2 linked regions of the Oryctolagus cuniculus genome follow. The protein of the gene in region 2 interacts with the protein of the main gene of each other region in a pairwise test. Links are inferred from orthologs where the notes say so. Each region holds a gene or a part of one and is shown on either strand. Other genes may lie near its edges.

The links.
Region 1: the proteins of RUFY1 (region 2) and RAB39B interact in binary tests that used the Homo sapiens proteins (3 or more experiments, as listed by UniProt). The two-hybrid records come from large-scale screens. The link is inferred for Oryctolagus cuniculus from reciprocal best matches to the Homo sapiens genes RUFY1 and RAB39B.

Annotation. Positions count from the first base shown.
Region 1 is NC_091453.1:133,767,677-133,775,649, forward strand, and holds RAB39B (ras-related protein Rab-39B), read right to left. Parts: upstream 4,172-7,973; coding exon 3,957-4,171; intron 1,814-3,956; exon of another isoform or gene 1,317-1,813; coding exon 890-1,316; downstream 1-889. UniProt on the Homo sapiens protein: The small GTPases Rab are key regulators of intracellular membrane trafficking, from the formation of transport vesicles to their fusion with membranes.
Region 2 is NC_091437.1:67,937,233-67,944,984, forward strand, and holds the start of RUFY1 (RUN and FYVE domain-containing protein 1), read right to left. Parts: upstream 4,136-7,752; 5' UTR 4,115-4,135; coding exon 3,826-4,114; intron 1-3,825. UniProt on the Homo sapiens protein: Activating adapter involved in cargo sorting from early/recycling endosomes. Regulates retrieval of proteins from endosomes to the trans-Golgi network through interaction with the dynein-dynactin complex.

The sequences.
Region 1 (7,973 bases), on a different chromosome or scaffold from region 2:
TTAGGATGATCAAATAAGTAGCATAAGGAACTGTCATGTGCTTGTAAGGGTGATAATGCTCACTATTGAGCAGGTACTCAGCACAAGACTGTTGAGCAAGGATTTGCCTTTGGGCTATTTTCAGAGGCCATCCCTATGTTGTCCCTGTCAGGTGTTTAAAGAAGCAGCAGGCTATTTACTTCAATATTGCAGTTGCCAGTGCCATGAAACTGTAGGCACAGATGGGGGGGGGGGGGAGTATGGCTACCCATATGGTAATTTGCACAGGACAATTTCTTTTACATAGCTGAGAATTCTACCATTAGAGTATACATTTTCTCAAATGGCCTCCTTTTCATATCCACATGTAAGTATCTTAGCAAATGGCTGGTTCATATCCCTTATTTTACAGAAACTAACTTGTACCTTGTAACCAAACCCAGCACACACAGTTGGTATAGAATATTTTCTCTGAATAAGTTGATCTCACAGTCTTTTAGTTATGTTACTTGTTATCCATGTGATACTTTTTTCCCTTTACATGTTTCTTTATGTTCATGACCCATGAGTTAGTGGAAATACCAAGGAACAATAGGTGTCTTGTCTGTAGGATTGTTTTCCTGGGATCTAGCTTTTCAAACCCCAGGCCTTTAATATGTGGCTCACCAAGGGCACACAGAGCAGCCATTGCTCAGCGTGGGCCACAAAACAGTGTCTGGCCCTGTCCAGCCCATATGCACAGTGCAGTCCCTCAGTCCCAGCACCAGGCTCCCCCATCCACCCAGGGAAGGCGTCTCACTTGGTATCCAAATGGAGGTTCAGTTCTCTTCAGTCACAGAAAGGTTCTATTCATTTTGGTGGTTTTTGTAAGTTCAGGTGCGAGAGCATGTTTGGGAAAGAAAAGGGCCAACTAGCACAAACACCTCCTCTCTGATTTAACAACCTCTTCTGAAGAGTGAACCACATTTGGCACAAATCCACTCTTCACCCCTTCCCAGCCCTCCTGGATTGTAATCTCCCCCCTTTTAACCAGCTCATATATGTCTCTCGTCAGGTCTGTGAAGGCTTTCTCCACATTAATGGCATCTCGGGCTGACGTTTCAATGTACTTCATGCCGTATGCAGCAGCCAGTTTCTCGGCCTCGTGGCGAGTCACTTGCCTCTGAGTATCCAGGTCACACTTGTGACCCACCAGAACAAACACAATTTGGTAGGGCTGAACGTGTACTTTGGTCTCTTCTAACCACTCATGGACATTCTGGAAGGACCTGCGGTTGGTAATGTCAAATAAGAGAAGACCGCCTACTGAGTTCCTGTAGTAGGCTCGAGTGATGGATCTAAAACACAAGAAAGAAGTAAAGAATAAGGCCATGTGCAAATTCCTGCACGTCAATGAACTCAGAAGATTTTAGTGTTCCTGGTGATTACTCTCATAGCCATTTAATAAAAGCGATTTTATGTTTAAAGAAACAAGAGAATACAAATGCTTTTCTATAATAATTATGAAATACAACTTTTCAATTGGAAAAAAATTTGAGATAGCATCTTGTACAAATGAATGCTCATAGTGTTTCAGGCCTTTTCCCTCAGTTAAGCACTGGAAATGCTGGGAAATGATTGACTTTTATTTCCTGCCTTCAGACAAAACCACAACTAACTCCCACCACCAAATATGAACAACTGGTAGAGACTTCCTCTTCTGCAAAATGAGTCAGAGGGTTATCATGAGGCAAAATGAAGTAACAGATGTTAAAGTATCCTGTGACCTAGAGGGTTAGTTCATCAGAAATGCTAGTAATTGAAATGGGAGTCGTCAAAAATAAAAATGTACTTATGATAGTTAATAGAAATTCATTATAAGTATCTTACACTGCACCGTGCTTTTTCTGTTGATTGTTACTATGTTTTACTCTTTCCATTGTGCCTATTATTACCTACCAAGGATCCTCAATCTCTTCTGTGAGGAGAAAGACAATTTGTTTTCTTTTCCAGGCCATGTGGGAACAGTTAAAAAAAAAAAAAAAAGAAGTGGTGAAAGGGTTAGGGGACACATTTATGAGAGTCAAGCTCAGGATCTACCAACTAGGAAAATCCACCTGAATAGTCAAAGCTTCCCCCTAAAATAATATGATTGATTTAAGCCAGGGCACTTGGAATATTTGTAAAATTTGTTGTATATTTGCCATACTTCTTAGAAGAAATCTCACTGATTTTAACTTCTTGATTGGAGGAGCTTCATTATCAATATACATTATGGTACTTTGCTTGGAATATATTAGAGCCTATTAGAGGGGTTAGAACTTGCTTTAGTCTACTGTGACTTTTACATATACCTGTTTTTAGGTTTTCTGTCTCCTTGAATGAAAAATGTGAACAATGAAGGACTCAATAGCTTAAAGCTTAGGTGAAATGAACCAATGTTAACAGAACAAATATTGTCCAGGAAATTACAGTCCATGCTAGATGATGGTAAGCCCAAACAAGTTCATCTCCAGGATCAGGCAGGTCAACCTCAGGGAAGTAAAAACATTTCTAATTGCCTTGACTTCTGAGGATTCATGGTTAATGGTGGTGAGCCAGAAAATTAGACATGAAGGAAGGTTTTGATTTGTGAATGCTTGACTCAAGAAATCAATAAGCTGTAAGTCCCCAAAAGTGTGCTACAATGTATTATTACATTAATGGCTTCTGAGTATTTAGCAAAGTGACAAAACCCTTTCCTTTCCAAGCATAACACAAGGCTACATAAAACTTAAAATCTTCCCTACATAAAAATATCTTAGAGTGAAAACACAAAGGACAAACTGGAAAAAATATCTTACATGACAGGAAAGGGTTAATATTGTTACTCTGTAAATAATGGTTGCAAATAAATGGTAAATATTGGATATGACTAGAATGTTAATACAGAAATTCCAACATATAAAAGATATTTTTCTTCACCCATGAGAAATGCAATCACAGGTTGAAAGTGAACCTGTGCAAGAATATTTGCCACAGTGCGGTTTGTGGAAGCTGGGAGTTGGAGACAACTTAAGTTTATTATTTCCTATTCTCCCAGTATTTTTTAAATTACTTAACCAGTATCTTGCATGCTCAATGAGTGTTCAATAGATACATGAATAAATGATCATAAACATAGGCTGTTGAGTTCTCAATCTGATTCTTGCTGCTCTGAGTTTAGTTCAAATTGTTCTCTATAAAGTTTTCCGTGTACACATTGATCTTTTCCAGTTAGTTTTCCCTCCTCTGTGTTCATGTATGTAAGTACAAATAATAAATGCTATAAAGGAAAAGCAAAGGATTGTAAGAGAACATTAAACATGTTCACTGATTACTCATCATGTGGCAGGTGTTAAAGTAGGGAGAGGAGCCACAAATACAAACAAGACATTCTTTTGTGTAATTCATGATTATTTCCCCCTAATAGGTCAGCACAGAACTTCTAGGAGGGAAGGGGTTGTGTGTTATTTTTAATAGATGGCATCCCTCATGTGGTTTCTCTAGAAACAAGTCCAGTGCCTGCCACATAGTAGGTGATCACTGATCACTGAATGTCTGCTGTTTGTAAAAAGGAATCAATCGATTTTGTTAAGACACATCTAGGTGTGTGTGTATGTGTGTGTATGTGTGTGTGTATCTCATGTATATACACAGAGAGATATAGAAACAAAATCTATGTGTCTTTGTCAGTTACATTAGGATGGCCTCTGGGAACAGTTTTGAAAGGATGTAACATAGGGACTGAGGTTGAATTACAGGAATCAATTCCAGATAGGAGAGGGTCCTGGTTATTAACTGGCCTTCTCTGCTATCGCGTTTCTTTCCCTACATTGCAGTCACAGAAGACCACCCCCCACCCCAACCCTTAGTTTGCCCTTTGAACAGCAACTAGGACCAGGAAGTCCTCGCTCCCCAGGGTCTGTGCAAGCCCTGAAGACCCTCCCATTGGTCATGGGCCCGGGCTGCGCTCCCACCTGAACCTCTCTTGACCCGCCGTATCCCAGATCTGGAGCTTGATGCGTTTTCCTGGCTCGATCTCCACCAAACGGGAGAAAAAATCCACTCCTACGGTGGGATCCGAAACCTGGGCAAAGCGACCCTCGGTGAAACGCCGAATCAAGCAGGACTTGCCCACCGTGGAATCCCCGATGACAATGAGCCGGAACTGGTACAGCCAGATGGCCTCCATGGCAGCGGCTTGGCAGGTCTCCTTGGCCCAGGCTGGGGGCGGCAGGAGGGGGCCCCCCGCCTAAGCCTCGGAGAGCTCGGCTTGGCCCCAATCTAGCTGGACCATGAGCTCATCGCTGGCCTGCTAGCCCAAAGCGAGGTAGGCCCAGGCGCGAGGAGAGCAGAGGGATAGATGCTGCGCTTGCAAAGGTGATGAAATGGCAGCAGCATCAGCACCACGCACTCTGACTCATCACTGACAACCGAGCTACTGTAATCCCTCGTGTAGACGCGACTCCCAGGGCTGCCGCCGCACTTTCTCTAAGAAGAGCGCACTCGCAAACGACCTTGAGAACAGCACATTCCCTTTTCCTTCTTTTTTTTTTTTTAATTTTCTTTTCCTTTCTTCTCCTCTTTTTTCTTTTCTCTTCTCTTCCCTTCCTTTACTCCCCTCCCCTTCCCCCACCCTTCCCCTCCCCTCCTGTCTTCTCTCTCCTCTCCTCTCCTCTCTCTTCTCTCTTCCCCTCCCCTCCCCTCCCCTCTCTTTTCTCTTTTTCTTTTTTGTCTTTTCTTTTTAAAAGAAATTATTTGAAAACCAGAATTATACAGAGAGGGAGGGACAGACAGAGATCTTCTATCAATAAATTCACTCCCCAAGTGGCTGCAACAGCAGGAACTAGTCCAGGCTGAAGCCAGGAGCCAGGAGCTTCATCCTAGTTTCCCACGTGGCTGGCAGTGACCCAACTACTTGCACATCTTTTGATACCTTCCCAGGCCATTAGCAGGGGTGTGAATCAGTAGAAGTCAGGACTCAGAAACTAACACTCATTTATGGTCTCGCCTTTCATTTTTTATTGCCTCTTTGTAATTTAAAATTTCCTCTATCATTTAAATTGCAAATGTAATATCTTTCCATTGAAACTAGTGAAGTAATGCAAAATGTATGCAAAAATAGGACGTTTATAATTATATATTCATCTACATGTGTTTCCACATTTACATAAATATACAAACATACGTGAGTGTCCATATACATTTATTATTTTGTTTTCACTAAGATTCAAGATTGAATCAAAGTGGATCATTACTTTCAAACTTGCTTTTTGCAGTTAATTAAGCATCATAAACCTCTCCATTTCCAACTCATATTCTTTTTGCCTTAAAATTTTAAGGAAGAAAGGAATGAATATGCAGGAAAGCATGCAAGTATCATTATATTCTGAGAATTGTTCCTAGGAACTACATTGAATCTGTTGTTTGTATTAATATCATATTAAAATGAGAATTGGTGTAATTATCATGCATTTACTATGACCCTGAGAATCTAATATATTAATAAATTCCTTTGATTAAAAAATTAAAACAGATTTTATGTACAGTCACACTAACTTTATTTCTATGAACCAGACTCTTAAAGTGGGGCCAAGGACAGGGGTGTTATACATTCCAAAGATATTTACCAATTTATATTGCAGCCAGTAAAGTGTGGAAAGACAATTTCTTCTTCATATCCTTTGTATTTTTGTATATACTTTTTATTGTTACATTACACAATTTTATTGTTATATAAATTCACACATCATACAATTTCTCTATTCAGGGAACAATTAAATGATTTTTAGCATAGTCACAATATGTGTAATTGTTACCACAGTTAATTTTAGATAATTTTTAAAATATTTATATATTTATTTAAAAGGCAGAGTTACAGAAAGAGAAGGAGAGACAGACAGAGAGACAGAGAGAGAGAGAAAAGAGAGAGAAATCTTTTCAGTGGTTAACTCTCTGAATGCAAATGGCTACAATGGGTGGGTGCAGGGGCCCCGGTCATCTTCCACAGTTTTCCCAGACTGCTAACAGAGAGCTGGACTGAAGGTGGAGTGGCCAGGACTTGAACTGGTGCCCATGTGGGATGCTGGCATCGCAGGCAGCCACTAACCTGCTACATTGCAATCCTGGCTCCAGGAGATTTTTTTTTTTTATCACTTTGAAAAGAAAGTGCAAACATTTTATCCATTGTAGTCCCTGGCCACCACTAACCTACTTTCTGGCTCAATATATTTCCCTATTCTGGACATTTAGTATAAATGAAATCATACAAAATGTGAATTTTTGTAACTGGCTTAATCACTTAGCATTTTCAAGGTCTATCCATATTGTAACATGAGCCAGTAACATTGGCACTCTATGTCCATGGGATTCAAAAATATTTGGGAAAAAGGTTATCTGTACTGAACACACACTGAAGTTTTTCCTTGTTATAGTCCCTAAACAATACAGCATAAGTTATTGACATAGTGTTTACATTGTGTTAGGTATTATAAGGAATCTACAGATGATTTAAAATATTTGGGAGGATATGCCTAGGCTCTCCTGCTCATCGACAACAAGAAATCCATTAGCTGGCTGTGAGACTAGGGCTTCAGACACCATCTGGTGTGATTTGGTTTTTCTTTTTCCTCTCTCCAAGCTGCTAGTAGTGTCCCACTGCAATCCCGTTGCTCTCTTACTGCTGCCAGGGCTCTTCCTTAGGCACTCACATGTAGACATAGTTGCCCTGCAGGAGGAGGTAAATACTGGACTTCACTATATGACTATCTTGAATCCACTCTCAGTTTCTAGTATTTTGTTTAGGATTTTTCACACCTACATTCAAAATATTTATTGGTGGGGGTTTTCTTATTGTTAGGACTTTCTGTGGTTCTACTTTTTGTAAGGGTTTGTGAAGAACTGTTTACTGTCTCAATCTTTATCTATTATCTATTTATCTATCTGTCATCTGTCTATATCTACCTATCATCTATCATATAGTCATAAGAACATTTAATGTAATATATAGCATCTCAGAAAAAAATTTAACTTTCTCTTTAAAGAAAATGGATAGAACTGGAGATCATTATGCTAAGTGAAATAAGCTAGACACAGAAAGAAAAATACATGTTTTCTTTTTTCTCATATGTGGAATTTAATTTATATACAGAGATATAGACAGTGTAAGAAATGTATGGGTGCCGTATTATTTGGTATATAGATAGTTACACATATTGTCTTCATTGAATTATACCATTTATATAATAATATACCCTTTTTTAAATAATTATTTTATTTATTTGAAAGAGAGTTAAAGAGAGAAGTAGAGCCATAAAGAGAGAGGTCTTCCATTCCACTGGTTCACTCCCCAAAATGGCCACAACAACCAGGGCTGAGCTGATCCGAAGCCAGGAGCCGGGAGCTTCTTCCAGGTCTCCCATGCGGGTGCAGGGGCCCAAGGACTTGGGCCATCTTCCACTGCAATCCCAGGCCATAGAAGTGGAGCAGCCAGGACTCGAACCAGTTGCCCACATGGGATGCCAGCGCTGTAGGCTGGGGCTTTAATCTGTTGTGCCACAGCACCAGCCCCAATAATATACTCTGATTCCTTCTCTTTATGATGAAAACAGGGATGAATATAGTATCTACATATGAAGTGAATATGGAAATATGTTAAAATTGTTAAATCTTAAAGATACATAAATTAAAAAAAAACTCTTACTGTAGCAAATGTGAATTTATTATATAATTTTTTAAAGACTTATTTTATTTATTTGAAAGGCAGAGTTACAGAGATAAGAGAGGGAAAGACAGAGAAATCTTCCATCTGCTGGTTCACTCCCCAATGCCGAAATGGCTGGGGCTAGACCAGGCTGAAACCAAGAGCCTAGAACTGCCACATGGGTGGCAGGAGCCCAAGTACTTGATGCTTTCCCAAGAGCATTATCAGGGATCTGGATCAGAAGCAGAATAGCTGGGACTTGAACTGGTGCTCCAATATGAGATGCTGGTAC
Region 2 (7,752 bases):
TGGGCAGAGAGAGGTCTTCCATCCGCTGGTTCACTCCCCAATTGGCCGCAATGGCGGGAGCTGTACTGATCAAAGCCAGGAGCCAGGAGCTTCCTCCAGGTCTTCCCATGCGGGTGCAGGGCCCCAAGGACAGCGCCAGCCCTCTTGGTATTTATTTTTAAGATGAATGGTGATGCTTATGAAATCATTAGTGTAATATACATAACCCTTGATGCACTTTAAAGAACCATCGAAGAGTTTTATTTTAAAAAGTCAGCATTTACAAACCAGAAAAATGTATACATGGGAAGAACTGGAGGAAGAACTGTGGCTCACTTGGTTAATCCTCCACCTGTGGGGCCAGCATCCCATATGGGTGCCGGGTTCTAGTCCCAGTTGCCCCTCTTCCAGTCCAGCTCTCTGCTGTGGCCCCGGAGAGCAGTGGAGGATGGCCCAAGTGCTTAGGCCCTGCACCCGCATGGGAGACCGGGAGGAAGCACACTGCAACCTAGAAAAATGTACTCTGAACAGCTTTAAAATTTTGATCAAGAATTTTATGTAACAACTTTAAAAGTTGGAGATGTCTTTGATGGGTAACACATGTGAGTAAAGCTGTGCAGTCCAGAGTTGCAAGCGAGCAGAGGCGGGCAGCAGCGGCTTGCAGCGACCGCCGTCCCTAGGAACGCCAGCTCACCCATCCTGTGCTCTCGGGCGCCTTGTCTTGCTTACACTCAATTTACAGTCTCAGAAAGTTAGAGCAGGACCTGTCTTTTGGCCCTTCTCTCAGTGTTACTGGCTTTGTGACTTTGGCCAGGCTAAGCGTGATTAATGATGGCACAGCACACAAGTGTTGGGACACGGCGAAGTTCTGCATTAAGTGGACAGCTCAACAGTCGGCAGGGGCTGGGCCCGCAACACGAACAATAAGCTGAGCTGGACAGAAAATGCCCGGTCTTGAGAGGTTCCAGGGACACTGGGGCAGGGAGCGGTTCTGAATTACACAAGAATGACTAGATTCTTCACATTTTTGATTTGGAGGAGCCCTTTGGTATCTCCAATGACATGACACAGGATGAGGTTATCCTGCACGGTACTGATGGAGACACGTTTTGCCACTTTCCTAATTGTTTTTGGCTAAATCAGAGTTTGGCAACATAAAGGGGGAAAAGTTGCAGTGTTTCACTCTGGAAAGTGTAGTACTTCTGCGGCAGGGACATTATTTTTTATGATTTATTTTATTTGAAAGGCAGAGTTACAGAGAGAGAGAGAGAGAAAGGAGATCTTATATCTGCTGGTTCACTCCCCAAATGGCCTCTGGGCCTGGGCCAGGCCGAAGCCAGGAACCTGGAACTCCATCTGGATCTACCACATGGGTTCAGGGACCCAAATCCTTGGGCCACCTTCCACTTATTTCCCAGACACATTAGTAGAGATCGGAAGTGGAGCAGATGAGAGCAAGCTGGTGGCGATATGGGATGCCGCCATCGCAGGCGGTGATTTAGCTTGCTTATGCCACAATGCCTGCCTGCAGGGGTATTTTAATGTGTGGCAAAGAATGGAAACAGGCATAATCCACACCAGTGATCTGATGACAAAGACTAAGTTGAACCATTTCAAAATAAAAGAGCACTTTTTTTTTTTTGAACAGCCATGAACAAGAAAGACCCGATGCTTGGTGTGTTCCCTCTTGGAAGCACATGTTTTATTACTCATCCTTTATTACTCATGAAAAGCAAGCTGTAGTGCCTCCTGTGTACATCCTGATGGCCTGAAGACTGTGAGAGAGGAAAGCACCCGTGCTACATGCAAGCACTTGGACAGACACAGCAGTGGGGACAGTTTCTTACAAGGAAGACTTACTGTACATTCAATGTTCTTTTGCATGGTTGGATTTTTGTTTTTATTTTTGATCTGATTTATTTATTTGAAAGGCAGAGTTACAGAGAGAGGCAGAGAGATCTTAACATCTGCTGGTTCACTCCCCAAATGGCTGCTATAGCTGGGGCTGGGCCAGGCTGAAGCTAGGAGCCAGGAGCCAGGAGCTTCCTCCAGGTCTCCCACATGGGTGTAGGAGCTCAAGTACTTGGGCCATCTTCTGCTGCTTTCTCAGGCACATTAGCAGGCAGCTGGATCAAAAGTGGAGCAGCCAGGACTTGAACTGGCACCCATATGGGATGCTGGCACTGCATGTGGCGGCTTTATCTGCTACGCCACAGCACTAGCCACATTTTTTTTTTTAAATCATGTGGCTTTATTGACTTAAAAAAAATCCCCCAAACAAAATAGATCCCATGTAGGATAACATCTTAAAGCAAATATGCCATATATCCCACAACATTGCACTGTGTTGTCTTGTAATCGCCATCATCAAAAATATTCCTAGCAGGAGCACACCTCCTCTCCAAGCTCTGCGCCTGGTGGCTGCCCTCGGAGATCACCCCGTCCTCAGCAGAGCAATGGGAAAGGAGGAGCCGGCATCCGCCCCAGGCCTGACACAAGTGCTGGCCACTGTCTCCCCACCAGTTTTCCTGAGGCCTCTGCAGAGGGTGATGCTCACATTTGGCTCCTTCCCCACCTCCGCTCCTGTCCTACCTGACCGTTTGAAATCTTTCAGGGACCAGCCAGGAAGCCATGCTCACGATTTTTTTTTTTTTTTAAAGATGTATTTATTTGAAAGACAGAGCTACAGGAGATGCACACACACACACACACACACAGAGAGAGAGAGAGAGAGAGAGAGAGAGAGAGAGAGAGAATCTTTCATCAGGTTCACTCCTCAAATGGCTGCGATGTCCAGGGCTGGGCCAGGCTGAAGCCAGGAGCCCCAAACGCCATCCTGGTCTCCTACATGGACAGCAGGGGTCCATCGTGTGCTGCCTTTCCAGGAAGCTGGATCGGAAGTGGTGCTCAGATAGATAAGGAATGCCAGTTCCCAGCTTAACTGGCTGTTCCACTCCAACACCAGCTTCCCCCCATGTTCATTTTTGTTCACAATTTTTGCCAGTTCAAGTGGCAGTTACCACTTACCATTTCTTTAAATTGACCAATTTTCAAAGTCCAAATGGTATATATTACTATATAAAGTTATCAAGGAGACAGGCAGTGAGGGATGGTAACTAAGAGCGTGGCTCCAGGAGTATCCTGATTTGGTGGAAGTATCCCCCTTTATAAAAGGGGTTACTAATGTCACCTGTCACTGGCCTGCTCAATTGTCAAGACCCTTCTCAAAACCGCAAATACTGTATTTCTGATCTGCGGTTGGTCGGTTACACCTGTGGCTGCAAAGCCCACCGACACAGAGAAGTTGATGTATGCACTTTGAGTTTGGGAATTGAAATTGAATCAATTAAGGGATTCCACTTTGGAATGTTAACTAATTTTTCATGCGAATGTCACCCGCGGCTCGTGGCTCCTGTGTGGGGCGGCACAGCCCAAACATCTGGTTTGGAGGGCTTGTTAGGGTCCTAACGGTTGGATGTTTCCAGTCTTCTCACGCCGACACTGCTCCAGACTACAAGCGCTGAAAAGCCCTCTGCGGAGATGCCCGCGTGACCGGGGCCGTGGCGGGAGGAGTGGCGGCTCGTCCCACGCGCTTCAGCGGCGGGCCCAAGCCTGCGGACTCCACGGCGAGCCCGGGGTGCGCGGGGGACACGCGGGCACCGGCGGGAAACACCACGGGTCTTGCTCCCCCAAACATTTAAACACCCGATACAGATTCCTAAAGCCTAGACGCCAACCCGGGAGCTTTCCGGGGCCGTTCCCGGGGAGCGCCACGAAACGCCGGGTGCGAGAGCCCGGCCCCAGCCCGCCGCGCAGCCCCGCGCGCTCTCCCGCGGGCCCCCCTACCTGCGCGCGCCGCCCCGTCCGCGCCGCCGTCCGTACCGCCCAGCCCCGCGGCCGCGCGCAGCGCGTTCCCGCAGCTCGCCGACAGGTTCCCGGTGGCCCGTCGCGCCAGGGTCAGAATGGGCGCCGACCAGCCCTCGGCCGCCTTGGCCGCGCTCCGCAGCGCGCCCGGGCTCGGCAACTGGCCGCGGTCCACGATCTCGAAGTCTTCTCCCGGCTCAGACCCCGGCCCGGACTCCGACTCCGGCTCCGGCTCCCGCCCCGCTGGGGAGCCGTCTTCCCGGTCGGCCATCTTGGCGGTGTCAAGTGGCCCGTGGGCGGGGCGTGGGTGCGGCGCGGGCGGGCGCGGCCTGGCGGGGGCGGTGCGGGCGGGCGTGCCTGTATCTTGGCAGGATTTTTTTTGCAGTGCTTGCAAGGTGCTTCTCCCTCCTCGCCGCCGTCTTCACCTTTCTTTCACTCTGAAACCATTCAGGGCCAGGACAGATTGTAAAATAAGAAACATCCTTGGCAGCTGGGGCTCCTGTTTGCATGGAAAGTTCTTCTTGAACTTCCTCTCTCCCGGGACCCTTGCACTCCCAGCCTGGCCCGTATTGGGGCCCCGGACTTCACTTTCTCTGTGATGCTGTTTCCCGTTTTTAATTTTCATTTCCTATTTTGCGTTTTTTTTTTTTTTTAAATTTCTTGACAGGCAGAGTGGACAGTGAGAGAGAGAGAGAGAGACAGAGAGAAAGGTCTTCCTTTGCCGTTGGTTCACCCTCCAATGGCCGCCGCGGCTGGCGCGCTGCACAGGGCTGATCCGAAAATTGCAGGAGCCAGGTACTTATCCTGGTCTCCCATGGGGTGCAGGGCCCAAGGACTTGGGCCATCCTCCACTGCACTCCCTGGCCACAGCAGAGAGCTGGCCTGGAAGAGGGGCAACCGGGACAGAATCCGGCGCCCCGATTGGGACTAGAACCCCGTGTGCCGGCGCCACAAGGCGGAGAATTAGCCTAGTGAGCCGCATCGCCGGCCCTATTTTGCGTTTTCTACCTTGTCATCTTTCCGCAGCAGTCTTCAGAAAGAGCCATCATTGCATGGGCGAATTAGCAAACTGGAACAGAGGTGCCAGGAGAGTTTTTTTGTTTTTTGTTTTTTCCTTTTAAATTAAGGGAAAATATGCTACTGCGGGTCCGTGAAGGGTGCACTGGAAATCAGATCTGGTCCTGCTCTTATGACGACAGCGCTGCGCCCATCATTAAGGAACGCTGGGCAGATGTTAAGGACATCTTCAGCCTGTTTCCTCCCTTGGGAAAGAAAGAAATTTGGCTTAAACCAGAAAACTTTCATTTTGGAACCCTCATGAGGGTGGGGACATCTTTACAGCTTGTTGCGGACGTGCAGGAACCAGAAGTTTCACATAAAACTTTGGAGTTGCGTCTTCTCTGAGTCGTGGGGAGATTAAGCAACCTGGCATATGCCCTATTGGCAGCAACTGTTGGATTCAGCCATGGCTGCTGCGTAGGATAAACGGGCTCAGTGACACCTGGGAAAGCGTGGGGAGGCCGATTGTGGCAGGGCCATGCTGATGCGTGGAGCGGCAGCAGCAATGGGGTTTGCAGCTGGGAAACAGGTTGAGCTCAGTTCAGAGCTCAGCACAGGCACAGGCACAGGGAGACGGGATGCCAAGGAGCAGGGTGCGGTCCGTGGGTGCAAAATGAGCAAAGAGGACCAGCAAGAGTGAAGGGGACTCTGAGGAGACTCAACAGGCTTCGTGCTGAATTTGGGCCAGGGTGATCAGAACCAGAGCAGGGGAGGGAGGAGGCAGAGGATGAGGAACCTAAGTGGATGGTGAGTGTTATGGGTGGTTCTTGTTAACGTGGCTTAGCGGGGCTCCTCCGTAAAACCGGTTTTTATGAAGAAGAGTACTGATAGGCCAAGGAGGAAGTTCAGAAGCCTGACTCAGGGATGGTCGAGAAAAGAATCTTGGTTATTGCTGTTTTAGCAGTGGAGGTGCTCTGGTCCAGCCATTTCACTGGTTTTCATGACCTGTGCGGTCCCTGAAGGCCGGTTCTCTGTGGGGTGCTGCTGCAGCCAGGGGAGCTGGTGAGATGGTGTTTGATCGTCCCGGTGGGCTGCCGCTTCTGGTCTTTACCAGGTGGAGGGGGCAAAGGTGTCCTGGGATAAGAATAGTCCCACACCCCTCATCCCTTCCCAGTGCTGCCAGGTGTTTATTTTTATTTATTTTTAAAAAAGATTTATTTGTAAGACAGAGCCACAGAGAGAGGTAGAGACAGAGAGAGACCGAGAGGTCTTCCATCCTCTGGTTCACTCCTCAAATAACAGGGACGGCTGGAGCTAAGCCAATCTGAAACCAGGAGCCAGGAGCTTCTTCTGGGTCTCCCACATGGGTGCAGGGCTCCAAACACTTGGGCTGTTCTGTGCTGTTTTCCCAGGTGCATTAGCAGGGAGCTGAATCAAAAGTGGAGCAGCCAGGACTTGAACCAGCAGCTGTAAAAGATACTGGCACTGCAGGCCTGTGCTTTAACCAACTGTACCACAGCACTTGCCCTGCAGGTGTTTATATTGCTGCAAAGCTTATTTATAATGATCAGGGCCTGGAACTGAATTCTATTTTGTGTAGAAACAAATTTTTTTTTGAGGAATAGCTTTAATATTGCATCAGGCCTTGTCCCTCAAATCTCAGTGGCTTTAACATAAAAGCTTATATCTTGTGCATTGCAAATCAGCAAAGAGGCAGGGACTGCTCTGCTCATGCCTGGGAGTCTCCTGGGCCCTAGGCTTCAGGGGCCTGCATTACTCTGAGTAGAGTTTTGCATCCACAATTCACTTATGCACAGTTCATTGACAAAGCAGTGTCCTGGCCATGTCTAACTTCTTGGGAAGTGAGAAGTTCAGTCCTACTAGTGTCTGGGAAAAAGAGAATGAGAAATACTGATGAGCAGAATAACCACTATCATCAATTGTGGGGAGCAACTCGGACTAGACTAAGTTACTGGAATTAAGACTTAATTCTATGCATCTGCTCTCCCACAATATGGCGCTGGGAGAGGAGTAAACAGCTTCTACGCAGCTGCCTCTCGCCAACTTGAGTGATGACCTGCAGGAGCTGATCCTGCTCCTGATTGGAGGAGAGCAGCGTACTCGGCGTGTGGGTAGCAGAGTTGGGATTGGTGGAAGAGGACTATAAAGGAGGAGAGAGACAACATGCACCAGGAACATCTCAGAGGAACACCTGTGCAGCCCCCGAGAGAGCCGGCTGGCGGTGTGCCGCTCCCCCGCGGAAGTGGAGAAAGTGGCAGGGGGAACCGCCCTTCCACGGAGGTGGAAGGAACGGTAGCCAACCCGGGAAGAACCAGCAGCAAACCTGGGGAGGGCCGAGCAGACAAAAGAACAGCGCAGGGTCCTGTGTCATTCCTCCGTGAAGAGGGGGAGTGACAATCAATGAACCCTTCTTTTTCTCAGAATGGAGTATATTATCAAAAAGGAGTGATGAAGAGACTTGTAGAATGACAATTGCTTTAAGTAGCACTCTGACCTCAGAATCAGCCCTAAAGGCATCTGGTCTGGCTGAAAAGCCCACAAGACCATTTCAGGTATGGAAAGCCAAGACACTGTGGCAAAAAAATATCCTACACGAGGGACCTTGGTGGGTGAGACCCCAGTGGAAAGAAGGAGGTACTTTTCTCTGACAGGAGGAGAGAACTTCCACTTGGCTTATGGCCTTGTCTGAATACTGACAGAGTTTGTAGATTCAAAAGACTTCCATAGCCATAGAAGCTCATGTCAAGATCCTCAGGTGGTCACTGACATCATACATAGGAGTGCTAATTGTTAAATTAACAACAGGAGTAGCTGTGCACTAACTCCCCATGCAGGACCTTTGTCCTCAAAGAGTTGGATTATGAGAGTTAACAGTAAAACTTGTTCACA